Daphnia pulex: one gene and its partners. The main gene of each other region encodes a partner of the protein of the gene in region 5 in a complex. Links are inferred from orthologs where the notes say so. Each region holds a gene or a part of one and is shown on either strand. Other genes may lie near its edges. The genes, in order: small nuclear ribonucleoprotein F, U5 small nuclear ribonucleoprotein 200 kDa helicase-like, pleiotropic regulator 1-like, serine/arginine repetitive matrix protein 1-like, splicing factor 3B subunit 2-like, E3 ubiquitin-protein ligase RNF113A-like and armadillo repeat-containing protein 7-like.

Evidence for each region.
Region 1: splicing factor 3B subunit 2-like (region 5) and small nuclear ribonucleoprotein F share a complex: the UniProt entries of both Homo sapiens proteins name them as parts of the minor spliceosome. The link is inferred for Daphnia pulex from reciprocal best matches to the Homo sapiens genes SF3B2 and SNRPF.
Region 2: splicing factor 3B subunit 2-like (region 5) and U5 small nuclear ribonucleoprotein 200 kDa helicase-like share a complex: the UniProt entries of both Homo sapiens proteins name them as parts of the minor spliceosome. The link is inferred for Daphnia pulex from reciprocal best matches to the Homo sapiens genes SF3B2 and SNRNP200.
Region 3: splicing factor 3B subunit 2-like (region 5) and pleiotropic regulator 1-like share a complex: the UniProt entries of both Homo sapiens proteins name them as parts of the minor spliceosome. The link is inferred for Daphnia pulex from reciprocal best matches to the Homo sapiens genes SF3B2 and PLRG1.
Region 4: splicing factor 3B subunit 2-like (region 5) and serine/arginine repetitive matrix protein 1-like share a complex: the UniProt entries of both Homo sapiens proteins name them as parts of the minor spliceosome. The link is inferred for Daphnia pulex from reciprocal best matches to the Homo sapiens genes SF3B2 and SRRM1.
Region 6: splicing factor 3B subunit 2-like (region 5) and E3 ubiquitin-protein ligase RNF113A-like share a complex: the UniProt entries of both Homo sapiens proteins name them as parts of the minor spliceosome. The link is inferred for Daphnia pulex from reciprocal best matches to the Homo sapiens genes SF3B2 and RNF113A.
Region 7: splicing factor 3B subunit 2-like (region 5) and armadillo repeat-containing protein 7-like share a complex: the UniProt entries of both Homo sapiens proteins name them as parts of the minor spliceosome. The link is inferred for Daphnia pulex from reciprocal best matches to the Homo sapiens genes SF3B2 and ARMC7.

Annotation. Positions count from the first base shown.
Region 1 is NC_060019.1:9,593,681-9,596,393, forward strand, and holds small nuclear ribonucleoprotein F, read left to right. Parts: upstream 1-1,362; 5' UTR 1,363-1,503; coding exon 1,504-1,509; intron 1,510-1,588; coding exon 1,589-1,717; intron 1,718-1,836; coding exon 1,837-1,968; 3' UTR 1,969-1,977; exon of another isoform or gene 1,978-2,019; intron 2,020-2,031; 3' UTR 2,032-2,213; downstream 2,214-2,713. Other genes in the region: phospholipid-transporting ATPase VD-like, read right to left, coding at 7-310. UniProt on the Homo sapiens protein: Plays a role in pre-mRNA splicing as a core component of the spliceosomal U1, U2, U4 and U5 small nuclear ribonucleoproteins (snRNPs), the building blocks of the spliceosome.
Region 2 is NC_060022.1:2,646,595-2,650,824, forward strand, and holds the start of U5 small nuclear ribonucleoprotein 200 kDa helicase-like, read right to left. Parts: upstream 2,801-4,230; 5' UTR 2,756-2,800; coding exon 1,465-2,755; intron 1,458-1,464; exon of another isoform or gene 1,452-1,457; intron 1,400-1,451; coding exon 246-1,399; intron 177-245; coding exon 1-176. Other genes in the region: zinc finger protein 704-like, read right to left, coding at 3,877-4,110, 4,205-4,230. UniProt on the Homo sapiens protein: Catalyzes the ATP-dependent unwinding of U4/U6 RNA duplices, an essential step in the assembly of a catalytically active spliceosome. Plays a role in pre-mRNA splicing as a core component of precatalytic, catalytic and postcatalytic spliceosomal complexes.
Region 3 is NC_060021.1:1,388,871-1,392,685, forward strand, and holds pleiotropic regulator 1-like, read right to left. Parts: upstream 2,649-3,815; 5' UTR 2,532-2,648; coding exon 2,523-2,531; intron 2,459-2,522; coding exon 2,352-2,458; intron 2,287-2,351; coding exon 2,144-2,286; intron 2,077-2,143; coding exon 1,957-2,076; intron 1,898-1,956; coding exon 1,713-1,897; intron 1,657-1,712; coding exon 1,507-1,656; intron 1,451-1,506; coding exon 1,256-1,450; intron 1,193-1,255; coding exon 1,074-1,192; intron 1,006-1,073; coding exon 804-1,005; intron 738-803; coding exon 546-737; 3' UTR 501-545; downstream 1-500. Other genes in the region: death-inducer obliterator 1-like, read left to right, coding at 2,983-3,106, 3,164-3,526, 3,595-3,815. UniProt on the Homo sapiens protein: Involved in pre-mRNA splicing as component of the spliceosome. Component of the PRP19-CDC5L complex that forms an integral part of the spliceosome and is required for activating pre-mRNA splicing.
Region 4 is NC_060027.1:2,460,199-2,464,283, reverse strand, and holds the start of serine/arginine repetitive matrix protein 1-like, read right to left. Parts: upstream 2,801-4,085; 5' UTR 2,652-2,800; coding exon 2,628-2,651; intron 2,469-2,627; coding exon 2,379-2,468; intron 2,294-2,378; coding exon 2,165-2,293; intron 1,852-2,164; exon of another isoform or gene 1,034-1,851; intron 833-1,033; coding exon 662-832; intron 591-661; coding exon 1-590. Other genes in the region: SH3 domain-containing protein Dlish-like, read left to right, coding at 4,017-4,065. UniProt on the Homo sapiens protein: Part of pre- and post-splicing multiprotein mRNP complexes. As a component of the minor spliceosome, involved in the splicing of U12-type introns in pre-mRNAs. Involved in numerous pre-mRNA processing events.
Region 5 is NC_060020.1:5,124,850-5,129,117, forward strand, and holds the start of splicing factor 3B subunit 2-like, read left to right. Parts: upstream 1-1,468; 5' UTR 1,469-1,708; coding exon 1,709-1,949; intron 1,950-2,036; coding exon 2,037-2,683; intron 2,684-2,745; coding exon 2,746-3,089; intron 3,090-3,159; coding exon 3,160-3,364; intron 3,365-3,434; coding exon 3,435-3,685; intron 3,686-3,760; coding exon 3,761-3,879; intron 3,880-3,943; coding exon 3,944-4,104; intron 4,105-4,173; coding exon 4,174-4,245; 3' UTR 4,246-4,268. UniProt on the Homo sapiens protein: Component of the 17S U2 SnRNP complex of the spliceosome, a large ribonucleoprotein complex that removes introns from transcribed pre-mRNAs.
Region 6 is NC_060022.1:4,929,451-4,933,195, reverse strand, and holds E3 ubiquitin-protein ligase RNF113A-like, read left to right. Parts: upstream 1-1,488; 5' UTR 1,489-1,712; coding exon 1,713-1,880; intron 1,881-1,951; coding exon 1,952-2,144; intron 2,145-2,200; coding exon 2,201-2,425; intron 2,426-2,508; coding exon 2,509-2,692; intron 2,693-2,757; coding exon 2,758-3,097; 3' UTR 3,098-3,245; downstream 3,246-3,745. Other genes in the region: protein unc-45 homolog B-like, read right to left, coding at 3,276-3,382, 3,467-3,635, 3,713-3,745. UniProt on the Homo sapiens protein: Required for pre-mRNA splicing as component of the spliceosome. As a component of the minor spliceosome, involved in the splicing of U12-type introns in pre-mRNAs. E3 ubiquitin-protein ligase that catalyzes the transfer of ubiquitin onto target proteins.
Region 7 is NC_060018.1:4,531,617-4,534,587, reverse strand, and holds armadillo repeat-containing protein 7-like, read right to left. Parts: upstream 1,758-2,971; 5' UTR 1,660-1,757; coding exon 1,551-1,659; intron 1,484-1,550; coding exon 1,178-1,483; intron 1,112-1,177; coding exon 993-1,111; 3' UTR 501-992; downstream 1-500. Other genes in the region: probable G-protein coupled receptor, read left to right, coding at 1-332, 410-449. UniProt on the Homo sapiens protein: As a component of the minor spliceosome, involved in the splicing of U12-type introns in pre-mRNAs.

The DNA of each region.
Region 1 (2,713 bases), on a different chromosome or scaffold from region 5:
AAATACCTGTATAAGGAAGTTTTAAAACTGTTGGATTGGCAGAAGAAGCATCTTGTGAAGATCTTTCCCCTTTATTCAATCCTGAAGCTGCCTCCAATAATCCAATTGCAGGGGATGGCGAAGAGGGCTGTGGATGTAATGTTGGATTCAATAAGGAAACTCCGATGACACCATGACTTGCAGAGCGAACATGTCCCTTAACTCCACCCGGCCAACCCCTGCTTGGCAGGGGGTTGACAGTTTCAAGCTCTATTGGGGGTTGCATCACATCAGGAAAAATGTAGGTGGTACCCGGTGAATCAAAATCCATACCGTCCCTGAAAATGAGAGAGTACCAAATTCAATTACAATTGAATTTCTTTAACCATTCACGAAACTAACTGTCAAGCTTGTGACTACCAACAACCAACTCAAAATCAACACAAACTTCTGAGCAATGGAAAAGGGAGAGTTATTTACTCACCAAACATCTTATTTCAATATTGCTGAAAAAGACAAGTCAGCTTTTGTTTTCAAAAAATGTCCATGGCAGACTAAAATCAACAAATCGTCTTAACAGTGGAACGATTGTTCGTTTATTTGGTCCAATGATGGAACCCAGTGAGGAAATGGAAGAAAAACAATCGGTTGGAAAGTGACGTCAACTTTAAAAAAAGTGCAAAAAGATGAAAGAATGGTAAGATAGAGTTTAGTGTCAGCAACTGAGCAACTTGTTGTGTGTCCACGTATATAACGGCAAATTCCAGCTGTGCACTGCTTTCAGCCTCTGCTGCATACACCGTACAAGCTTTACTGCCAGATTTTACACTCGGTAACCGATAATAAAGGAAATTGCGCGGAATGGACACCGGAGTGAAATAAGAAACCGGTTTGTTGACCGTTTAAAAGCTTCCAAAATGTAAAATTGAACCTAAAAAGTCTTTCTGTATCAAGACAAACTGTGATAAATTCCTATCTTTTTAATTCCGCGAAACGCAAAACCCTCTTTTATTACTTTTTAGAGAGCGCTAATTCTGGTTGTGAAGCTTCTCTGTTCTTGCCAATTTGTTAAAAAGACTTTTCATATCCACGACCACGAGTCACTTATTAAACAAAATCACTTAATAACGATACATAAAAAAAAATTCTCCTTTGGTTGTAAATTTTTCCAGCTATTATGATTGAAAACAGAATAGGTGACGTGAGTTTTTGGTCCGGAACCAGAGATCCGGGATCGTTGCTCTACGATGGATATCTCATTACATTACATCAAAAAATTATTTAAATAATCCTATTTTATAAGGTAATTTTAGTTCACTAGTTATTAGGTTTAAATATGTAAATTTCTTTCCTACAAAATGGAAAAACTTTCTCAAAATTTGATGTACTTAATAAGACGACTTGGCAACCCTTACTTCTGATCTTTACGTTACAGAACGTGTAAACTGAAATAACGCGGCTTGACTCGCTTGTCAAACATTCAATCAAATTTTGTAAAATCGTTGACTAAAACAAATACAAATCATGGCAGTAAGTTCAAAACCTAAATCTTGTTGGGTGGTCCTTTTTAGCCGACCATTTACTAACATGTTATATTTCATATTTTCAGGCACCCATGCCCATCAATCCCAAACCCTTTCTCAATGCCTTAACCGGCAAACCGATTATGGTAAAACTGAAGTGGGGCCATGAATACAAAGGTTATCTCGTTTCAGTTGATGGATACATGAATCTTCAGGTACTGTAATAATTATACCATGTAGTGCATTTTCATCAGTAAAAAAATGAAAACATGCTGTTGCACGAAACAGTGTGCATATATGAACAATGGCAATAATTCTTCTTATATTATCACAGTTGGCAAACACAGAAGAATATATTGATGGAAGCTGTACTGGAAACTTGGGTGAAGTTCTTGTCAGGTGCAACAATGTACTTTACATACGTGGAGTGGAAGAAGATGATGAGGAGGGAGAAATGAGAGATTGATTGCTGTTTGTATTGAATTTTTCATCCTTTAATACATAATGTCATTTCCTATCTATCTCATAGAAGTTATTGTATAGGAAACCTGGAAACCCTAAAAAATATGTTCTGGTGTATACATTACAAGATTCCCACAGACAACGAAGGACAAACAAGTAAAAAAACAGCTTTTCAGTATCCAAATTCCAAACACAGAACCGTTGTCTACCGTATTGGTGATTTAATGTTAAGTATACTGGAATTTCTTACGTTCCGGCGATTTTTTCCATTTAGTCGGAAAATAAAGGCTTTGTCTAAATGGAAAATGGTTAAGCTACCTTATGAATGAAGTTAGTAGGCAGCCCGCAGTCCCGCATGCTCGTAAAACTCAAGTCACATTTCTTTTCCACTTACACCAACTTGTTCGTAAATATATTTTGTAAGGTATAAATCAAAAAGGCAAACAAATCCGGAAACACCTTTTCCGATTGGCTCACGCTGGTACCAGCTGATGTCATAAGAATACCTAATTGCTTATGAATATTAATTGTTCAATACGTTTCAATTGGCCTGCATGTAACACGGCTGTTAACACTATAGGACGGTAAGCATGCGCAAGTTATCACTGTCGTTTGAACGTTAGGGGAGTTATAGGCTGTTGAACTCCGAGATGAATTACTACGGTTTGAAACAAATAATAAACATTGTACAAATGTACGTTCCTAACTAGACAACGAAGATTAAAACGTTACTGTCAGGATCACATTTA
Region 2 (4,230 bases), on a different chromosome or scaffold from region 5:
AACTCGCTGTGGTTGGTGATGAGGATACCTTCACCTTTGGTATCGTACTGCGGTCGACCAGCACGACCCAACATTTGCAAGACATCGAGAGATCCAAGTTCGCACCATCGACCTTTCTCCGGATTGTAGACTTGCGTTCCTTTGATGATGACAGTATGGGCTGGCAAATTGACACCCTAATATTGGTAAAAAAATCGTTAAAATTTGACCTTTTCTAAAACGCTCTGATTAGTTATTATATTTACCCAGGCCAAAGTAGCTGTGGAAACGAGCAACTGGATGTGACGATCAGCAAACAAATCTTCGACCAAAGCACGGTCCACACGGCTCATACCAGCGTGATGGATGGCAAAACCATAGGGAAGTAGGTCCTTCAGCTCCTGATTCTTAACTTGTTCGGCTTCATTGCGCAAAACTTCCGTAGAAGCGGAACCCTCACGTAGAAAGGCTCCCAGAGAGTCTTTCTCCAAACAAAGATCGCGGATGGAACGTGCTGTTTTGCCGGTTTCTTTCCTCGAATGAACGAAGACGAGAATTTGATTCTTGCCGGCGTGCTCCATTACCTTCTCGTATACAATTTCGTTCATAATCTGATAACGCTTAACAGCTTTCTTCTCCGTGATTCCAACGTACTGCTGTTCCAAGGGTACAGGGCGGTAGCTGTTGTCGAAGAAGAATAGACCCGTCTTGGGTCGGACACGCAAGAAAGTGGCCACATCTTCGTAATTGGGAAGCGTGGCAGAAAGACCCACCAATCGCAAATCTTCTTGAGTGGATTCGACGGTGCGGATAGTACGAGCTACCAAGGCTTCCAAAACTGGACCACGGTCGTCGTGCAACAAGTGAATTTCGTCAAAGATCATCAACTTGACCAGTTGCGTGTAGGTTCGGTCTCCTGATTTGCGAGTGATAATGTCCCACTTTTCGGGCGTGCAGACAATCACCTGAGTTTGTGCAATTTCTTCACGGCTGAGTTGATGGTCGCCCGTCAATTCGGCAACTTTCAGGTTGAAAGGCGCCAGTCTTTTGCCAAAACTGCCCACCATCTCTTGTACGAGCGAACGCATGGGTGCAACGTAGATGATTTTGAATTCATCAACGCGAATTGTTCCGTCCGGATTGATGTACTTGCCCAATTCTCTCATCATTGTCAACAAAGCCACGTTGGTTTTGCCGGCGCCGGTTGGGGCGCAAATTAACATGTTCTCATCCGATTCGAGAGCTGTTTTATAGATTTTAGACTGGATTCTGTTGAGCGTTTTGAATCCTTCGAAAGCTGGTTGGGCGTAGGTTGGAAGTTTATCGATAGGAATAAGCATTTCATCAGCATCAAAAGGCCTAGGTTTCAATGGTGGCACATGAACTTCTTCGTAGCCTTTACGCTGTTTTCGGAAAGAACCTGCAATACAAGTCCATGTTTAAATTTTGATTGAAATTAAAAGATGAGAAACTAAATTATTATACCTTCTGGAAGTGTACACTTTTTGTTGGCCATGAAGTGAGAGCCCTGAGCGAATGCAAGATCCTCCAAGTCCAGTAGCTCTCGAAGACCTGGAATGCCACTGTACCCTTCCTGTCCTCCACCTCCGACTTCTTTGGAGGCAGAAGTACCTTGACGTGAACTCTTTTTAAAATCGACTTCCATCGGTTCGATTCCAGTGTCGTCCCTCACAGTATCTAATTGTCGAAGGATCTTGTTCAGATGGGGATTGCTCTTCATCTCGTCTTGAATGCTTCGACGTTCAGCTTCGCTCTGTGCGGATGCCAGTAACGAACAGTAAAGAATCATGTGTCTGTTTTGTTTAAGCAGCTTGATGAAGTCAAAGCAGTCAAAACCAAGCAAGACAACTAGCTGATTTTCACATTCTCTTTCATCCTGGATATTCTTGAGGATGTTGAGGACTTCACCGGCTCTGGCTTGAGACACCATGGGGTCACTGTAAAACTTTGACAGCTTCCTCTGAAGCCAATAGGCATCAATATCGAGGGGATGCAATTTCTTCTCTTTTTTACCGCCCAAATCGACGCCACTTGCGACAGCATCAGCATGAATGGCATGGTCTGTTTCAGCTTCATCAGCTTCATCCTCACCGTCATCTTCTTCTCCAATCTCTCCATACACATTTTCTTCTTCGTTTTCTTCGTCTGTGTCTTCAAATTGCACATTGATGCCATACTGGTCGTCCATTTGCTCTTCTCCAGTACCCATTTTCTCGTCTTGGCCCCAATCTGTGATCTTCTTACCCAGGTTAACGAGCAGGGCAAATCTTTCTTCTGGCAAGGAGCCAAGCATAGCCTCTGTTTCCTTTTTCTTCTCCTTATCCTTGAGCTTGTCGTTCTTGAGAACCGTGAGGACTTCATCAGCAGCACCACACAACACATCTCTGGGTTGATCACTCAACGCTTCCTGAATAAAACTGAGAAGCACTTCGTAAGTCTGTTTGGTGTCCTGCGTTTTGGGCCTGTAGATGATGCCAGAGATTTCATCCAGGTTGTCGCTTTGCAAAGGTCCTTTTCCACCATTTTTACCACCAATATCAGTTTTGTTGGGATCACGCTTCTGACGTTTTGCCGGTTTCATCCGTTGGGCTTTGTCACCCATGCGAGTTCCTTCCAACTTCCCAGTAAGGGACATAACCTCACCGGTGGCTTCATCTCGTGCTCGGCGATCGATTAAACGAACGTCAGCTTGTAAAACCAAATTAGAATTGGCTTTATACTCGTACTGGAGCGAACGTGCTGCGGCGTCCGCCATTTCTTACGGCTTGCTTTTAGACACTGACGAAAGTTTCGTATGCTGTTCGAACAGGCAATTGACAGCGTTGCCAGTTTGTAATAAAACAAAATTCAGAATTCGAGAGGAAATTTGTATATTGAAAAATTTAAAAATCTCGCCATAAAACTCTGGGTCGACACGCGCGAAAAAAGGGATAAAAAAAATACAGAAAAAAAGCAATTAAGAAACTAAAACACCATTTTTGTAAGGAGAAAAAACCAAACATTTTTCAAAAGTCCATCGGTCTTGAGAATGAAATGAGAAAAAAACACAGAAACAAAACCCCCCACTATGCGAACTACAAAGGAGATGGAAAAACAAAATCAGGTCTAAATAGGGTAAATCTATAAACGTTAAAATTCACGCAGCGTTATTGCAAAAATAACTCTAAATCGACGAAATAAAGAAACATTGGTAGAGAAAAAAGCCATCTAACGCTGTACAAAGCTTTTTTGAGAGTAACGCAGATATGAGGTGGGACATAGGGATGAAAACAATATTTTTTCAATGATGTTGTACGAGAGGTAATAACGACACCAGTCAGAGAAATCGTCACTGAGCTACGGCAGCCTGGTCAGTGGCAAGATACAAAACAACACTGCATCTTCACAACGAAAATTATGCACACACAACAACACGCTCCGGCATGAATTTGTCATAACAAATACGAAAGCCAATAATAATTAAAAAAATAAAAAATAAAGTCAAAACGTTTTTTTGTCTTTTGTCAAAAAGTTGCCCGCAAGTAAAAATGGTTTCAAACAATATCAACCGCCCAGCGCGCCAAGTGTCATAGATCTTTTGAGATCCGTCATCCGCACAAAAACTTGGCTCCTATTCCGCAATACATCCAGCACCAGACATCAAAATTTAAAAAAAAATTTCCTGTCGACAACAATAAAAAGAAAAATAGCCATGAAACAACAAAACACAATCAGACAAAGAAAAAGGAGGGGAGACGTTTGTTCCATGTCAAAATCAAGCGGAAAACGGATTAAATTTCTACAGTCGGAAATCCGAGCGGTTGTTTTTCTTTTTCTCGGAAAGGATTAAATAGTATATATATACGTACACATTGGGGTGTGGTATAGTCATTTGTTTCACTCGCCGAAGCGAGTGCAAGCCTTTTTCCATTTGCATTGAGTGCACCACTGCTCGCGGTGTTCCATTCCGTAAACCTTGCGGCACTTTTTGGCCTCGCCGCGGGGCCGACGAACGGGACTGCTCTTGACTGTAAAGACCGAAGCTCCGGTAGTAGATGGTGGCGCTAGTGGGGGCGCCGGTGAAGGAGACGTTTTGGGCGACACAACCACTTTGGCCTGTTTGAGCGCATTCTAGAATAATAACAAATAAATTTTAAAAAATTAGTGAAAATCTATAATTGACATTGATCACGGTCGTGTAGTTTAGTAGGGCGTGGCAACTTACCGAGCCATATCCGTAACCGGAAGACC
Region 3 (3,815 bases), on a different chromosome or scaffold from region 5:
CAGGGTTCTCGGTTTCCCTTCCATTTTTCCCGCCAAAATACAGTGTTTCAAAATTTAAGACCGCGTGAAAACGTGAGCTTTGTAAATTAAATAATTAAATGTTATGCAACGAAGCAAAAGGTTTTCTTTGACTAGTCTTAACATTTTTTAACAATATTTTTTCTAACTACATTTTGGGATGAATTGAAAACCAGAAGATTTTTATGTACTCGTTCTTTACGTGTGGCATTTGGCTGCTTGTTGAAAGCTAATACGTTATCACAAACAAGGAGTGACCCTAAATTATTCTCAAGTAGGTATTCTAAATTGCTAAGAACCTCATCACTATTTGATTGCCTAAAACATTCACGCTGAAATCAGTGATTATATAATTGACAAGCTAAAGCTATCCCGACTCGGGATAGCTTGGGATTCCCGAGCTATCCATAATATAAATAATCCATAAGCGCATAATAACTCAGCACATTACTGAAGTAATAATACAAGTTTGCGCCAACAAATCGTTTAAAAATCAAGTTGTATTGTACGGTACAGGAGATGGCGAGTTAATAACGACGCCGTTTTAATAAGTCGGGCTTCCAGTTGATGGGGTGTGTCTCTTCATTAGCTTCGTCGTCCTCTTTGTAGATTTTGATAGTTTTATCTGCTTCGGCCGTTATGAGACGTGAACCACTGTGGTCAAAGGCCATGGCAAATACTCCAGCTTCACTATCCATTGAGCCTGGTTGCACGGGGGCCTTAAATTTGAATAGGAACAGTTAAAGAAACGTTCAAAACACAGTTTCAACTAAATGCATTTATACCTGTGAGCGCTGGAAATTGTATCCAGTCTTGAAATCCCAGAAGTGGAGTGATCCGTTATCAGCACCCGATACCATTACGTTGTCAGCATTGATGGCAAGGCAATTAAGAATGGCATTGTGGCCCGAAAGATTCTGAATAAACTTGCCTTCGGGGCACTTCCATTGTTTGATATTATCCGGCGAGGCGGATGCAAACATGTAGCTGCAACATAATTTTTTAAAATTAATTGTACATTCAATGTGTTGTGAAATAATGGGTTAGCTTCATACAGGTTAGGGTGCATTGCCACTGCCCGGACACTTTTCTTGTGATTCGTCAAAGTAGCCATTGATCTGCCAGCCGCCAAATCCCATAATCGAATAGTGCTGTCATGACTACTAGTAATAATCTATGGTTTCGAAAGGTAAAATTAAAATTCTGGATTATGAGTGTCGAAAACTGCTTTGAATACTTGAGGTTCGGCTGCTTGACAAACAACTGATGCTACGGTGTTGGTGTGGCCAGTTAGGGTATGAATGTTTGCTTTGGATCGCATGTCCCAAACACGGGCAGTAGAGTCACGACCACAAGTTACTAAAACGTCGATGGTTGGATGAAGGGCCATACTATAAACGGCACTCAAATGGCCGTGGTAGTGCCGGATAACCTGAAAAAGATTTTGTTAATATTTCTTACACGGTAAATTGAAATGGTGATGGCTACTTTGTTGTACTCCAAATCCCAGCATTTCACTTGTCGATCTTCACCAGCACTGAAAAGGTACGGATGTCTTGGGCTGACTTGAAGAGCACGGACGGTGCTGACATGGCCTGTAAGCGAAAGTTTCAGCCGTCCAGAGGCCAAATCCCAAATCTATAAGAATTTCAAAATGAAAAACTTGACTCTTATAAATGTAAGGAATAAATTACCTTAATAACTCTGTCAGCAGATCCTGTGCAAAACCATTCATTCGTAGGATCAACAGCTACACAGCGTACCCAACCAATATGACCACTGATAACACGACAAAGTTTCCATGGTGGATGCCACTGTGGCTTGGGCATTGTTGGGGCTTTACGGGTTATTAAAGATTGTGTATTGTTTGTGGGTCCACCTAATAAGATTCTTTTTTAGTAAATAGATGGGAAAACAATGACTGCATATTTTTCTCACCTGCAGCATAGCCTGGTATACCAACAGTTGATACATTTGCTGAAGATTGTGGCATCTGATGTCCCCCGATTGTTCCTGAAGGCATAAGAGCCAAAGCTTGGCTGGTCTCTCCATCTTGTTCTGTAAAAAAATAAACATTCCACTTAAAAATACATATTTCCAATCAATATAGGGGAAAATAAATTACCAGATTTGTTAGTTAGAGCAAGCTGTCCTCCAGGGTAATTTACCGGAAGCCCTGTTTTTTTCGCTATCTCTTGTTGTTTCCTGACCAGTTCAACTATTGGACCATACGTATCTTTAGCTTTTGATGATCGCCAGGCAGACACTCTAGATAATCAAATAGAATTGAGTTACTTAATACGTTGAAACAATGTAAAGTTATTTCAACACACGCTTTTTGATCAAGAGGAGGTAGACTACCCTCTTCTGACAGAAACATGTCGTGGGTTCTCTTCAGTGATCGAAACACTAGCGTATGCACGGAATGCTTCTGAATATCCTGTAGAGATATGAAATTTTGTAAATTAGAAATTGTTCATAATTTTTTTAATTGCAAAATTTACCTCTCCCATGATTGTTGTTATATTGTAAAAACGAAACCAAATCAAAATTTACATGAGGTTTGTACTCGATTGTTGCCGGCGTTGTCTAACGTACTGATCAAATCGCCATCTGTTAGTGACTAACAGAAGATGTAATTATTCACGCCAGATGGCTTCTATTGGAAGCGTCGCCGGCAACATGGCACATTGAAATTGATTTATATAAAAAAAACGCAAAATGGCGGCATCTAGCCATGAGTCGGCTTGGTGTTTATGTGTATTTTGATGCAATCAGGAGTTTCAAAGTTTGTCAACAAAAAAGTTTTGGGCTTGTGGTTGCCCATAGAATCGGGTGAAGTTTTTAGTGGCTTTGGTTTGAACTTTGATAGTGGGCCGTTCCGAGCTGGTCAATAAGTGACGCGTTTTGGATTACTCGTTTACTGACATTTAGATACAAGTGTGCTACAAATTCGACAACAGCATGTCGAGTACTTTTGTGGCAGATACCACAGACGATAGCTCCTCTGCTGGAAACACACTAATCATTATTGTTGATAATGACACTGGTGACATATCAGTTGATCAGGAAACACTTCAACTTCTTAGTAAGTCGTCACATTTTGGAGGGAAATCATGTTTTTATTCATTTACCTTATTTTCAGGCTCTCAAGAGAATACAACTCTAAGCGTAGTTAGAGTCAATGATGTTGCAGGTGACAGCAGTACTGATGTCAACATAACTGTAGAAGAAGATTTCAACCCAGTCTCTAGCCCTGTACTCAAGGAAAACGAGGAAGAATTGATGGAAACTGACCAGGAAATTGCTCAAGTTAATGGAAATGTCAAAGCAGGGCCAAAAATTAGTGAGCAAGTTTTAGAAACAACAGATCCACTCTTAGCTCTTGATCAGGAAGAGATCGAGAAAATTGAGCATGCATTACAAGCAGAAGCTGGGGCTTTTTTCAACAATATTCTCCCACCAGAAGCTGGTCTAGATGACCTGCTTGATCCCGAACTTACAGGAGGTTTGCCAAATAACTTTGTGTAGTAGTAGTAAGTGTATCTAGATTATATTATTGTTTTTTCTATCCAGCTCCGGATGACACTGAGGCTGTTGCGTCCATCTCACTTGACCATTGTTATTCAGCTGCGCATGGCCCGGCAATTAGTAACTCGAGAAACGCCGACAGTGCGATGAGTTCTGAAGTTGATAGTTCTGATAGCGTTTCGACGGGTATAGGTGGTGGTGGTGGATCAACGCGCCAACCTTCACCTAAGCGGCGTTCCCAACGCCAGATTGACCGGCAAGAAATG
Region 4 (4,085 bases), on a different chromosome or scaffold from region 5:
CGACGACGTTCCGCCGACCGGTGTCGAACGGGTGACTTCCTCACGGGCGAACGGCGTGGTGAAGGACGCCGAGGAGAATGATTACGAACAGGTGAACGCCTGGGAGATCTTCGAACGGGCGACCTGCGGACCGGTGACCGACGAACAGGAGATCTGCGGGCTGGGGACCTTCGAACTGGAGATCTCCTAGCGGGAGAGCGGCGAACGGGTGATCGTCTAGCTGGCGAGCGACGAGCGGGAGATCTGCGTGCAGGAGAACGGCGAGCTGGGGAGCGACGAACAGGTGATCGACGTGGAGATCGACGAGGCGAGCGCCTTGCTGGCGATCTGGCAGGTGAGCGACGACGAGGCGGTGGCGACGCCTTGCCTCGATTAGGAGAACGACGCTCCAATGAAGGACGTCGGCCGTCACGACGAGGTGAAGAGCGGGGATTGTCTCCTTCCTTCTTGATCACCCTGTCCTTGTTGGGGCTACGGCTTCTATCTTTGGAAGCTCGTTTGTCAGTACGGTCGTTGCGTTCCTTTTCTCGGTCAGCGCGCCGATCCCGGTCGGCCTTTTTGATTGCTTCCTGGATTCGATCTTGTTCTTCCTGCAAACCAATAAAGACGAAAATGATAGAAACAAAACTAATACCGCGAATTATTTCCGATGGTTGCATACCTTTCTTAATTTGATTTCTTCCTTCTTCTGTGCCATAAAGACCTCCGGAATTCCAGCAGACGATTCTTGGGCAGATAGTAGAAGATCCCACAATTCAGTCATCAGAATCCTGGCATTCTTGCCGTTGAGGAATCCAGTTAAATTGATTTGCATGCGACGAGGGTCAGGGTTCTATAGGTTTTAAGAAAAAAAAAAGACAAATAACAGAAAAATCAAACAACCGAAATGGAAAAGAGATACTTAAGTAAACGGACACAAATAGATTAGGTTTCGGTATGATCTCGGCGGATTAAGCGAGCAATACCTTTCAGGGGTTTGCTCTTTAAAAGGATAAGCTGTTTTACGTAGTTTGTTTTGGTTTGTTATTCTTGCCTGAGAGCTCGACCAGAGTGACAACAGAAAAAAATCTCTTATTTCTTTTTTTCCAATCTGGGCGTTGAGGGAGAACCGAGTTTCCCATCCGTCATAAAAACACCGGCGACTCGGTATCAAAGAGACGACCACGAAGCGAGCGGCACAGGAGTTGTCCTGTCGACTGTACCGCCCAGCTATTGGGTCGTCATCTGACTAGTCCTACTCCTGATGGCTACCCCGGCACCACGATGCGATCGATCAGGTGATTTTTAAAGATGGGATGGTCTGTCGTCATCTATCAGGCAAATCTAGCAGCTTCGACCACGTTAGCGAACGGCACAGGAGTCTTATCTCTGTCGACTGTACCGTCCTGCTTTTTGGGCCGAGACGAAAGGATCTCTTCTTCTCAGCTTCTCAACACGGATTCCTGAGTAGGCCTACTGCGATCAGAGCCCGACTTAACCACACAGGAGTTTTCCCTGTTGTCGACTGTGCGGTTAACTATCAACTGGGGGAGAAGGCGTTGCATTGGCTGGGCGAAAGGCGATCCCAGAATTGCCTCTCATGACTCGATGGTTTAGAACGTGCCGTATTCCATCATTTCGCAGGAGTGAATCCTTCATCGGTCGACTGCGAAACGTTGGAAATCCAAATCCATAGACATCGTGGCCGACGATAAGAGGAATCGTCCACGGAACAGGCCGAAAGGTGAATCAATTCGAAGAGAAGACCTCGAAATAATGCGACCAGGTCTCGGTCGAGAAAGAATCCTTGCATCCATCATGTCAAGGTGGTGTGTGTGACATGGTGACAACAAGGCTTTGATGCAATTCCACATTAAGTCTTCATAACACAGGACCCAAAAGTGTACAAGATATTGAGATGAGCATGAGCACAGACAAAATATAATCAAAGCCATCTGGGTGGTGAAAACTTAAATCATAACTTATCTTTCACATTAAACCAAATTACAAACAAGAACCAGATGCAAAGGAGCTGACGTTCAATCATTCTTAGTATGTGATGGCTATTTCAGCCTGATATTAAAAAAATTGCATAAGATAAACAGCAGAATGATTGGTGAAAAGCTTTGGTGGCAAATGTTTCCCATAAGATAAATCTACACGGCTGAGATTAAAAGGATATTACCTTGTCAGCTTCGAGCTGATTAAAAACATATTCCACCAGGACGTCATCTTCAATTCCTCCCATAAGTTCTGTAATTTTGGTTGTGATCCATGGTTTGATGGTTTCCAACTTAACTTTGCTCATATCCACCTGAATTTTTTAACATGCATTAATGAATATTAACATGTAACTCATATTGATGTTGTTAAAGTTGCACAGGTGATCAATAATTTACCTTTCTAGTCACATTTTCAGCAAATTTGATAGTCTTCAAAAGCTTCTTCTCTTTGTCACTAAATCTATTGTCTTGCTCAGTTGAGGTGCCCTGTTGAAAGAATTCAAATATTACAATGCATCCCATCAGTTAACAAAACAGATTTCACAACTGATGAAGCAAGAATTTTACGACCGAGTTGGCGTGTCGAGATGCTGCAAACAATTCAAGGGAATAATAGTTCTAACTTGGGTAATTATTAACACTTACTCTGAAGAAACCGGCATCAGTCATTGTGAAAGAAAAATACCTCAAATCGAGGTAATTCTATAAAAGTAAAAATAAATGGGAGAATAAAGCCGGGCTAAACTCAAGTCTTAAATGGAGGACCCCTAACTCAATTGATCGCCTTCCCTCTTGTCCCTTCAGTCAGGAAAATGGAAACAGCATTGCCAGTTTAGAAAAATAAATCGACTGCTGCATATGCATAGCGCCAGCTCCTGCCAGCGCTTCTGAAAGAAAAAAAGGACAAAACATATCAAATATGGGTTACGCTACGCATAACTAATTTTCTTCGATGACAAAATCAATTGGACGAATAACGGGAAAATGCCAATCTAAGGTTTCCTCTCAATTTATCGACGCGAAATAATGTATCCCGAAATCATGGCGCGTCCAACCGGTTAATTTGACTATAAGAAAAATGTCGTTTTTTCAGTTGAAGCCAAAATTGCAAGGAACCTGTTTTGTCATTTGATCCTGCGAGTAGGTAGCAAACGGTCACTGCTTATTAAGTAGACTTGAGCTCCTTGAACTCTCTTTGCCTTTATAAAATAACTGTACGACCGGTGCAACTTTGTCCCCAAAGGCTTTTTTTTTTTAAGTGTAATAAGATAACCATCAAAAAGTATAAATCAACCACAGACAGAAATGGTTGAAAAGAAGAAAAAAAAATGAATTAAGAAAATAAAAGGCTTTCTTGTTGGTTGACTGACTACATCCCTTTTAGCTTGAGCTGGCATGCGCGCACCTTTTACGTGACCGCTAGGCTATAAGACGCGGCGGTGTGCACAGGTAAAAAGCGTCTCTTCCTTCCCAAACAAAAAAAACTCCAATCCTCAAGAAAAGGGAAGAAATAAATTAGCAGCAGCAGCAGCAGCAGCGAAAGAAGAAGAAGAAGAGCCCAAAGGTATATAATAATAAAGGTGCATATAGAGGGAAAGAATGTGAATGAAGGAAGAAGAAGAAGAAGAAGGTAAGAAAAAGAGCCCCTGGAGCATAAAGGCAACAAACTGTATTTGAGAAAACCTGGTTGGATGGAATTGGTTAGAGGGGGGATTGGGAGGTAAAGTTGTTGCTTCTTCTTCTTCTTCTTCTTCTTCCCATCTACCAGCAGAGACTGTTTTTCAAGGTGTGCAGTGCCAGTGGGTATTGGCGGAGGCCATGGAACAGAAGCAGAAACCAGGCCTTCTTCCAGGCTGACTCTTTCTGCTGCTGTGTCAATTCTCATTCTCACCTGACGACTGAACATACAACAATCGACATTGCCCTGCTAATTGTGTCAAACAAATTAAACTAATCAAGTGCATTTTACCAATCGATTTCGAGTTAATAGTGCGTGTGTTAGTGTGTGTTGAGTGTCTGGTGCACACCTGAGTCATGGCTTTCTTGTGTCCAGTGAGGATACGCCGAGGCAAGAAGAAAAAAGGTAACAAACTTGTCCAATTT
Region 5 (4,268 bases):
ACAAAAAAGGTAGCAGCCGATTCCTACAGTCTCGGGGTTAGCATCGAAAATAATAATAACAAGAGATGGGCTTCATCGAAATTGTTTTTTCCCGATGATGGCATCTATGGTGACGGATCACATCTCGTACGGGGGTTATTGCATACATGAATATGAATGGACCCGCAACAGAGGAGGTGAACGAACCACATGAGAGAGCCCTACGTCGTTGAAGGACACTTTGCTTTTATCAGTTAGTCCTGTGATACGTCCGGCAAACATCAACGTGATGTGGCCATCACTTTCTCTTTCATGTCATAGAAACCAACACGATATCAATGCAGGGCAAGGTAGATTACGTTCATGATTTACCTTTGTTCAAAGCCAGCCAAGGGTCGAATCAATAAATGAAGTTACCTCGTCTGCAAATGATATATCGATAAGCATGTCAGCAGACGGTTAGAGGACAAGGGTTGCTTAATAATCTACTGATAATAAATATACTACTACTAGCTGCAGCACACACACACACAATCTTCAAAGTGGGAAAAGCAACCAAATTGGTTAGTTTCTTGGCCTTGCGGTTGCACTGACCCTGGATCAACAATGCCCTATGGCGAAAAAGGCCGACTCTTTCACTCATCGTCAAAAAAAAGAAAAAATAAAACCGTAAACGTATATGAGAGACAAGGAGAGAAAAAGAAACGGTAATGGCTTCGTGGAAAGAATGTCAACGTGTATACGTAATGGCGTGAGAGTCTGAGAGAGACCTAGTGAAGTTGCTACACGGCCTGTGTGATGAAAGTCTCTTATCGATCCGGCTCACAGGCACATCTCACATCAGGGTTGTTGATAATGAAACTGATTTCTCTTTTAGCTTCTACCAACGTTTGATCGGTTCACCGACACCAAAAAATCTCAAGAGGGGTGAAATGGCCACACGCAACGTTTCTCATCAGATTTTACGAAAATGTGATTGTCGATGAGAATTTTCCCATCGAAAAACGATAATATCAAATAGGCTGGAAAAAACAATCTACAAAAGGTATGTACAAACGTAAAGGGGAGAGAACAAATGCCGTCGGTTTCACTTGATGCTGTAGACCTCTGGGCAGAGAGAAAACCAACCAAGACTGCCTTGAATGAGAAACTGAAAACAAGCCCCGACGAAAAGCCTGTCAACACACACCAAAACAGAATCGGCCAAACTTACCGGCCTCGCGATGAACTGGACGATCTCAATGAAAACAATACGTTCACAAACTAACTAATCACACCACTCCCACCGCTTTAGCAATACTCTCAGAGCACTTCGGTTTAAGAAACCGTTTTGACTGCAACTGCATCTCTCTCAGTGTGCCACCACAAAAAAAAATCATTTAAGATTCATCAGACTGCCATCTGGTGTTGATAGTGTGCACAAGCCTTTATTAAAAATTTAGGGCGCGTCGTGAACGCCATCTGCTGGTTTTCTGTGGTACCTCAATGAATATACGATTTGATCATGGCTTTTAGATTCGGCTTCATTTGGTCGTCGTTTACTCGCTTCACCCGTTTGGTTCTCTAACAAACTTGTTTTGCTATCGTGTTTCTTTCAAGGCAGTTTTAAATTAACGTAAAACTTCATCGTGTTTTACTTGGACGCGTCTATTTTGTCTATTGATTTGAAACACCCTTTTGATTGTGTGATTATTCTTTAGAAACAGAAAGTTATTTAGTTGAATTTGACATGGATCATCACATGCCGCCCGGCTACGGCCAGGAGAATTACATGTATGGAGATCCTTCAAGGTCCTTCCAGGGTAATGCTGTCGGTATGTATGGATCAGGTGCTAGACCGATGTCACCTCCTCCAGGTGATGAAGACATTCCCGCCCATGAACATCTCCCATCAGCACTTGAAGAAGTCCTTGCTTACAAAGAATACCGAGTACGAGAAACGGGCCACTCTGGAGAGGTTGATAACATTAGTGAGTAACACTTTTATAAATTTTCTAGTCTTCATGAAAGGTTTCGCTTGCAGGAATGAACTTTATTCTTTTCTATTTTTTTTTTAGTTAATGAAATCCCTGTCAAAACAGTTATAGAAACTGAAGGAACTATTGAAGAGAGGAAAGATGATTTCGGTGGGGAAGAAAACCTTGAAGAAAAAACTAAAACTCAAAGAAATCAAAAGAAGAAAAAGAAGAAGAAGCGCACTAAGAGACATCAACAGAAAGAAGAAGAAGAAGAAAATGAAAGGAATGATGATGCTGAAGAACCTCCACAAGTGGATATTGAGTATGTCCAGGAAGAAATCATTTATGACGACAAAAATCCTTTCTACCGACAGTTTGCCAAAATCTTCGAAGCATTTAAAATCATTGATGAAAAAACTGCAAAGAAAGCTGAAGAAGATGAAGCCAAAAAGAAAGAACTTCAAAGAAGTTTAGAACTTAAGAAGGTCCCCAAGTTTGCAGAAGAGGAAGATTTGGAGGAGAAAAAGGAAAATGCTGATGATGACAAGCCAAAAGTTTCAAAAAGAAAACTAAAACAACTTACTCGACTAAGTGTGGCCGATTTGAAGCAATGTGTTGCCAGACCAGACGTCGTAGAGATGCACGACGTTACTGCTAGAGACCCCAAACTGTTAGTTCTTTTGAAAGCAACCAGAAATTCGGTCCCAGTTCCTCGACATTGGTGTGCGAAGCGCAAGTACTTACAGGTATATTTTACTATGCACAAAGGGTAAACAATTCGTTTTAAACAAATTTTTTTGTACTTTAGGGAAAACGTGGAATAGAAAAGCCTCCTTTCAATTTGCCCGATTTCATCAAAAAGACCGGAATCATGGAAATGCGAGCTGCTTTGCAGGAAAAGGAAGAGTCAAAAACACTTAAAGCTAAAATGCGTGAGCGTGTTCGACCCAAGATGGGGCGTGTTGATATCGACTATCAAAAGTTGCATGACGCTTTCTTCAAATGGCAAACCAAACCCAAGATGACGATTATGGGTGATTTATACTATGAAGGAAAAGAATTTGAAACTCGAATGAAAGACAAAAAACCCGGAGAGTTGTCTGACGAACTGCGAACTGCTCTCGGAATGCCTGTTGGTCCTAGTTCAAACAAGTAAGAATCTATTCTTAATTTGACACCGTTTTGTGTTACAGTAGTTAATGTTAATGGCGTTTTCTTTAAGAATTCCTCCTCCTTGGTTGATTGCCATGCAAAGATATGGTCCACCACCGTCTTACCCTAACTTGAAGATTCCAGGATTGAACGCTCCAATTCCTGATGGTTCTTCCTTTGGCTACCATGCCGGAGGTTGGGGAAAACCTCCTGTCGATGAATTCGGGCGGCCTCTGTACGGCGATGTTTTTGGATTGACTGGAATCGCAGGCGATGTAAGAAAATATCTCATACTCTGTGTATAACAAATTCTATTAACCACGAATACTTTTGCCTCTTTTTCAGACAATTTTACTCGACGAAGAAGTTGATCGTACCTTGTGGGGTGAACTTGAATCGGAAGAAGAGGAGGAGGAAGTTGAGGAGAGTGAAGAGGAAGAAGGAGAGGACGAAGAAGGCGCCATTGATCAATCAGGTCTGGTTACTCCTGCAGAAGGACTTGCTACTCCTTCGGGATTCTCATCTGTACCTGCTGGTCTGGAAACACCAGATATGATTGAGCTACGAAAGAAAAAGATTGAAGCAGAGATGGAGAGGTATGTAACCAGTGTCAACTACTATACAACTGCTACTTTACATTTTTAATTATTCCTATTTTCACTCTTATTTAGTAACGAAACGCCTCAGCTGTATACCGTCCTTCCAGAAAAGCGAACGGACAGAATCGGTCAAGCGATGATGGGATCTACCCATGTATATGATATCGCTTCAGCTACGACCACTCAGAAGAGTAAGATTTGTCATTTTTTAGTTAATTTGTTGTTATTATGATTTTTCAATTAAATTTTTCATAGGTAGTGGTGGTGTGGAACTTAGTTTGGATCCCTCCGAGTTGGAAGGTTTGGACTCTGAATCAATGGCCGCTCGTTATGAACAAACATTGCGGGAGCAACAAGGCAACTTGGCTAAGGAAGATTTCAGTGACATGGTGGCTGAACATGCCGCCAAGCAGAAGGTAAGTCGTAAATCCAAATCAGTGATTATTAACTTGATTAATAAAATGTTTTCGTAATTGCAAAAACAGAGCAAGAGAAAGAGACAACAACAACAGACGGACACTAAACAGGCCAAGAAATACAAAGAGTTCAAATTTTAACATCCCTTTTGAAGCATTAAAAA
Region 6 (3,745 bases), on a different chromosome or scaffold from region 5:
ATGATATATACGCTGAAACTGCATATAGAGAACATAGAGCGAAAAGTCTTCATAAAAGGGCAGCAGCCCCATTAGAACGCGCGCGTAACTTGTGTGTGCTGTGTAAAGGATTGATCCTGCTGCCGTGCTGGCCCTTCTCTCAAAAGCCCCTTTTATACGTGTATAGTAGTGTAGCATGTGGATATTATATATCTTGTCTGGATCATTCAGCTTCTGTATAAATAGGCCCTCGCTTTATGCATAACATGTATCTATCATTGAGTCCCTATTTATAGCCTCCTCCCCTCTTTGCATAGAACGAAACGGTATATCTGCAAAACTGTGCTGCAATAAGTCAATGTGCCAATCCTGCTGGAGGAGGAAGTCAAAGTTTGGCTAGATGGGCTTTTCAGTCAGCGACAAGTTTGACCGAAAAATTACTTATACGGTACGGCGAAATAAAAATATTTTTTGTTTTAAATGAATAGGTATAGATATTGTAGTGCAGTATAGGTGTATAAATGGAGTCGGAGGATGGAGATCAAGTAGCTTTTCATCGGACGGTGAAGCGCTTCGTGCACTTTTGCGGCCGGGTTTTCTGGCCTGCGCGTTCCTTATTATTTCAACTTGATGAAAAGTGCTGGGCTAATTAAGGCGCTGTAAGGGAATCATCAAGCGAACGGCCCCCAGCAGCTAGCAGTCTGCTGATGATATAGAAATAATAAGCGCGACATCGGGCAAAGACGAAAGAGGCCCGCGGAGAACAAGCCCCCAAAAACCAGCAAAAAGAAAAAAGTAGACGAACGAAGAGGAGATAACAGTTCAGTGGCCGCCGCCCCACCCAGAAAAAAAAAATTAATAAAAATTGGGTAGGGGAATTAAGAAAATAGAATTATTATTCAGTCATATGTGGCGAAAAGGTTCTTAAAAGCTTCGGCAGTCTTTTCTAATTGATCGCCAGCAGAAGCGTATATAGTGCGTATTATTATTTCGAGGAGAAGAAAGAAGAAGGTCCTCAGACTCTGTGATGCGCCGAGCACATCTATACATATATACACGCCACCAGATTATTAGAGGGGAACCTACTAATTAATGAAAGGATGCTCCTTTTTGTACTGCCTGTGTGTAATCGAGTCGCCAGAGATTTTTAAGTAACGTGATTCTTCCCCCCATCCATTTCATTTGCACAAGGAAAATAAATCACCAAGGCATATGGAAATGATTAGAAGAAGACCATAAGAAATGACGACGATGCCTAATAATAATGATGTAAAGCAATAAGATATGTCGATTTTATTTTTCCAAAACAAATGCAAAATAGCAAAACCCGTAGTAGTAGTAGTAGAAACGGATGACGTTAAGATATATTCAAAGTCTCAAGCGGGTTTTCGGGGTCGGATCATTAATACCGACATCGTAGATGACAAATCTGGATCACAATAATAAAAGCTTTTGTGTGTGTGTGTGTGCATAGTTCTCTATGTACTAGTCTCTGTTGCTGTGCATATATATGTAAATCTGCAGCAGATCCCTTGCTGCGTATTCAATCAGTCATCAAGAACCCAATTAGAGGAATCAGACAACAGTGCACCGGTAATCCTTTTGAAAAGCCGACGACGAGAAGACGGAAGGATTTTTATTTTATTGTTCTCGTTTGTTGACAAGTCAAAATACATTTTTATATACAAAAAAGGAAAGCTTGATCCAACAAGAAAATCCACAAACAAACAAAAATGGCCGACGACAATAAAGTTTGCACGTTTACATTCAAGAAACGAAGAGGAGGAGGAGCCGCCATGAGGAGAAAAGCTGATGATGACAAGAAAAGCAGCAGCGAAGATGAAACTGTTGTTGCTCGAGTGGGGAAAAAGGAATCGGCTGGACTTCTTTCGGCTAAAACTGTGAGTTATTGAAAGTCTCTGCAAAAAGAATTTGTGTTTCTCATCGTGTTTTTTTCTTTTGGGGTTGACAGTTCAAATCCACGAAAAAGTCCCGTCAAGAAATCCAAAACAGCTCTGATGAGGAAGTCAAGGAAAAGGTCACAGTCGTCTTCCAGTCTGACAGAAGTGCTGAGAACAAGAAAGACGATCTTGCCACTTCCACAGTTCAGATCGACACTGCCGTCGATCAAGATGCCAGGACAATTTTTGAGAAATCTTTACAAAGTAGGTCAACTTTTTTATTTAAAATGAACCAAAATAATGTTTTGTTTCTTTGACAGTCCAGCAGGAGCTGAAAGGCAAAGCAGATGACAAGAAATATCGTGGCCTTGCTAACTATGCCCAGTACTACGAGAAAAGAGATACAGCCCAAGGAAATGCTGCATCTGCCAATGTGAGAAAAGGCCCCATGCGAGCCCCAGCCAACATCAGGTCAACAGTGAGATGGGATTACCAACCAGATCTTTGTAAAGATTACAAGGAAACGGGTTTCTGCGGTTTCGGAGGTATTCAAAATCTAACCAAAAGTTTTTGGGGTTATTATCATCATTCAGTTGAACTTTTATAAAGCTTTGCTGTGTTTTATTAGACAGTTGTAAGTTCTTGCACGACCGTTCCGATTATAAATTCGGATGGCAGTTGGAGCGAGAAGAAAGGGGAAAAGGTGAGCCGGCCGAAGACGACTCAAAGTATGAAATACACTCGGACGACGAAGATTTGCCCTTCAAGTGTTTCATCTGTCGCGAGTCGTTCCAACATCCCGTTGTCTCCAAGTAATAAAGACTCTCTCCTATTCATTTATAAGAAGGAGAATTTAACGCAAATTTTGACACGGCAGGTGTAAGCATTATTTCTGCGAGGCCTGCGCCTTGAAACATTACCGCAAATCGCAGCGGTGTTTTGTTTGCGGCAAACAAACTTTTGGTGTCTTTAACCCGGCAAAGAGCCTCATCGAGCGGCTCAAGTTGGAGGAAGAAGGCAAAACTTACAAGGAAGCAGACAGCGACGAGGAGCTCAACAACTTGGAATTGATTATGCAGCCGTCTGGCAGCACTACTGGTAAACCTACGGGAGCAACAGCAGATGTGGAGGAGCCCGTTACGGAGATTGAGCACATTCACTACGCAGACGAAGGAGTCGTGGCCAACGATACGGATTCAGATGATGACAGCGATTGAGGATAAGATCATCTTTATTTTTTCCCCCTACCATTCACGTGTAAGAATACATTATTTTGTAATTCCTTCTTTTTTAAATAATGCTTTCAATTGACGTATAAAGTGTATTTAACTTTAACGAGTGAATTTGCATAGGCACACAATTTAATTTTTGTTTAAATCATTTCATTAAAATTTATCAAGACTCATCTTCAGAGTCGTCCTCCTTCTCGATCAGTTTCCATTGCTCGGCGATTTCCAGGGTTGATTTGGCGCAGTCGCAAATTTTGGCCATTTCAGGTGTTTCTGTGTGCAGAGCGGATTCAAATGGGTTACAAAAAAGATTAGTTCAAGGCACCATGTCAAAAGTTTTAACTTAATCCTCTTTACCGAATTTGGTGAGAACTTCCAGGACCATAATAACCTCAGGTTGCAACAACTTTTCGGCCAACTCTTTCGAATGACTGGCGATGTTTTTGACGATAACAGCTCCTCGATATTGCACGTCTTTGTCCGTATTGCTCAGTAGGAAGCAAAGGATTTCTTTCCACTCTGTCGCCTATTGACAAATTTAACAAGAGAAAAAAAAAGTTAAAATCAATTCCAGGGAAAAAGTTAAAAAGAATGGAGGCAAACCTCGAAAACTTTCCGTGAAGCCCGTTTACTGAC
Region 7 (2,971 bases), on a different chromosome or scaffold from region 5:
GCAATCAAGACGTTAGTGCTTACAATCGGTTCCTACATTGTACTGTGGTCGCCCTATTGGGTATTGAACGTGATCCCCATTGTTCATCACGAAGATTTTCTGTGTGACGCAGTTCCTGGGTACGTTACAAACAATGGCTCTATAACGGTGACGTGGCTTATGTATGCATCAATCAGCATTAATCCACTGTTATACGGTCTCTTGAATCGTGCCATCCGAATAGAAATCAAAGGCAAAATGCAAATGACAAAGCATTTTTTGTTTTGTAAGAATACGCAAACAGAATCAGCAAATCGAGAAGAGCATGGAGCTAATGCGGCAGAAAATTTCTGGTAAATTTTAATTTAATCCCTATAATTTATTAGTTATGTATTTACATTCACCCATTACACTTTGAAAAACTGTCTAGGGAGTTCTTGGAACGGACTAACAGTCCTCTTCCTGCTTGAAGTTAAACGTAGATCAGCTGAAGAGACGCGCCGAGAAATAAACGCATAGGCTACATGGATGTAGGTTTTATTTTAATCCTTTAAATTTCAATAATTTAGCGGTACCTTGATGAACAACACATTGCTGATTAATACTTGTGCACACGTATTTACAGACAACAATTTTTCTGGCTTCTACGACTTCTACTAGAATTTCTACATCATCACCAACTCGACAGGGATTTGGAAAAGTCATTGATTGTTCATAAACAACATAACCAGGCCCAGGTAACTGGGTGCCAAGAACAGCACTGACAAAGCCATTAAGCAAAACCCCATGAACTATAGCTTCCCCACCAAAATGAACTGAATTTAAGTCACCTGTCAACTTGGAAAAACTTTCCACATCTGCATAAGTTACTTTTTTAAGTTCTACTACTGTGGAGCCTTTCTGAATGAATGATTGAAGAAATCTTTTGTTTATCCCTTCAGCAAGATTCATCTTCATGTTGGTGCTCTTCTGGAGTATACACTTTATTCTCTTGATGAACATTTCCTTTCAAGTTAGCCTGAACTGATGCCAGATGACTCTTCTAAGAAAATGGTAGCCAAGTTCTTTATGTTTTGATTTTCACTATGTTTTAACAGTTGAATCTGGGCAATCAAGTCGGAAGTGGCAACATCTGTTGATAAACATAGATGAGAAATTAAAATCATAAAATGGTGTTACTTTTATTAGATCTTACTACCTGATGGAATTGCTGATGAAAGTAGAAAAATCAAAGTAGTAAGTCCGTGTTTCACTAAATCAGGGTTTTCAGACTTTACAAATTCTTTAATATGATTGAGTCCATTGTGTTTGAATATTATATCTTGGTTCAGGGGATCATTGGACAAATTACAAATACCCTTCAAACAGTATTCAACAAAGAATGGATTTCTGCTTTGCAGTCCGTTTAAGAACAATTCAATTATTTTGAGTTCTCTGATATAATCATAGTTCAAGGGATCATACGCAAAATTGGCCAAATTAGCTAAAACTTGTTCTTGGCTTTCTAAAATAATTGAAACAAATTATTTAGTAGTAATTTTTTAAAATTTGTTTTTAAAGATGAAACATACCAAGAGAATTCGATTGATAGAATTCATTAACCAACTCTTGAAGGAATTCGAAGCGATCTACTCCCTTTTTACCCGATTTTCGATAAAGTTGTTTACGAGTAGTAAACATTATCCCTGAGGGTAGTACTTGTACTACCAGAAGGCATTAAAGTAAATGCGGGTGTCTGGGTGTGTAGGAGGGGGAGGGATGTGGGGGGAGTGTACGGTGTTCTGGGCCAGGCTTCCAGAACCTTTAATTCAGAATCAGAATAAATTTATAGAAATCTAAACTACTGCATCGATTTTCTTCAAACTTTTTGTGTAAACTTACAGTAATTTATCTCAGCGGATAGGTAAGTTTCGATTCATTTGGTAATACTAAATTTTATTTCATTTTATGCGGATTTAGTCATTAGCTTTTTGTGACTTAGGACAACCACAAAAACCATTAGGTTGTCTGTTGACAGTCTGTTGATGTCTTGTTCAGTAAAAATAAATTTCGTCAACAGTTTTGTTATTGTTACAGGATATTGTTCCTCTTTTAGAGAAGTTCAGTGGAACAAAGGTATATTGGTGTGTGCTATTCCATTTAAGAAATGTACGTAAATTCATCAATTATGCTAGGCAATATTTTGGGATGAACAACTCACTGGCCCCATTGGTTTGGTGGCAGAATACAGTTTTCTTAAGGAACTAGATGTTGTAAAAATGTTCCAGTTAAAACCTGGGTGCTTGCCTTCCATATCTGTTAAAAATATACTGTTCATCACAAGACCTGAAGTTGAGCTGATGGATTGTATTGCCGATAACTTGCACAGGTATGAATAATCTACATATTTTAACTTTAAATAGTCAACAATAAGTTAATTTACATTTCAGCGAAGAAAGCCAAGGACATTCTGCTAGTAAGGAATATCAGTTAATTTTTATCTCCCGATGAAGTGCAGTATGTGAACAGCGGCTCAAGGTTGGTTAAAGTTACTTAAATCAGCGAAGAAGAAATTGTTGACAAAATTATTACTTCATTTAGGACAAAGGAGTGTATGGAACTCTTACTTCTATTGATGAACTGCCTGTTGATTTTTTCCCACTAGATAGTGATGTCATTTCAATGGAACTCGATAATGTTTTCAAGGTATTTATTTATGAGCCAAACTTTGAAAGGGATTGCTTGTCATCAATTTCTTCAAATTTATTCTCAGGATTTATATGTTGACAATGAAATCAGCTCCTTACACCAAATTGCTCATGGGTTAATGTCCCTCCAAAGTTTATATGGCATTTTCCCCAACGTTGTGGGTAAGGGGCGCCATGCCCGTAACGTATTCGAATTGATGACTCGAATGCGAGTGATATTGGGGTAGACTGTGATCCCCCCATATCTCCGTTGTTCGACACTCTTATGATCATTGATAGGACTGTATATTTGATAACTCCTGTTG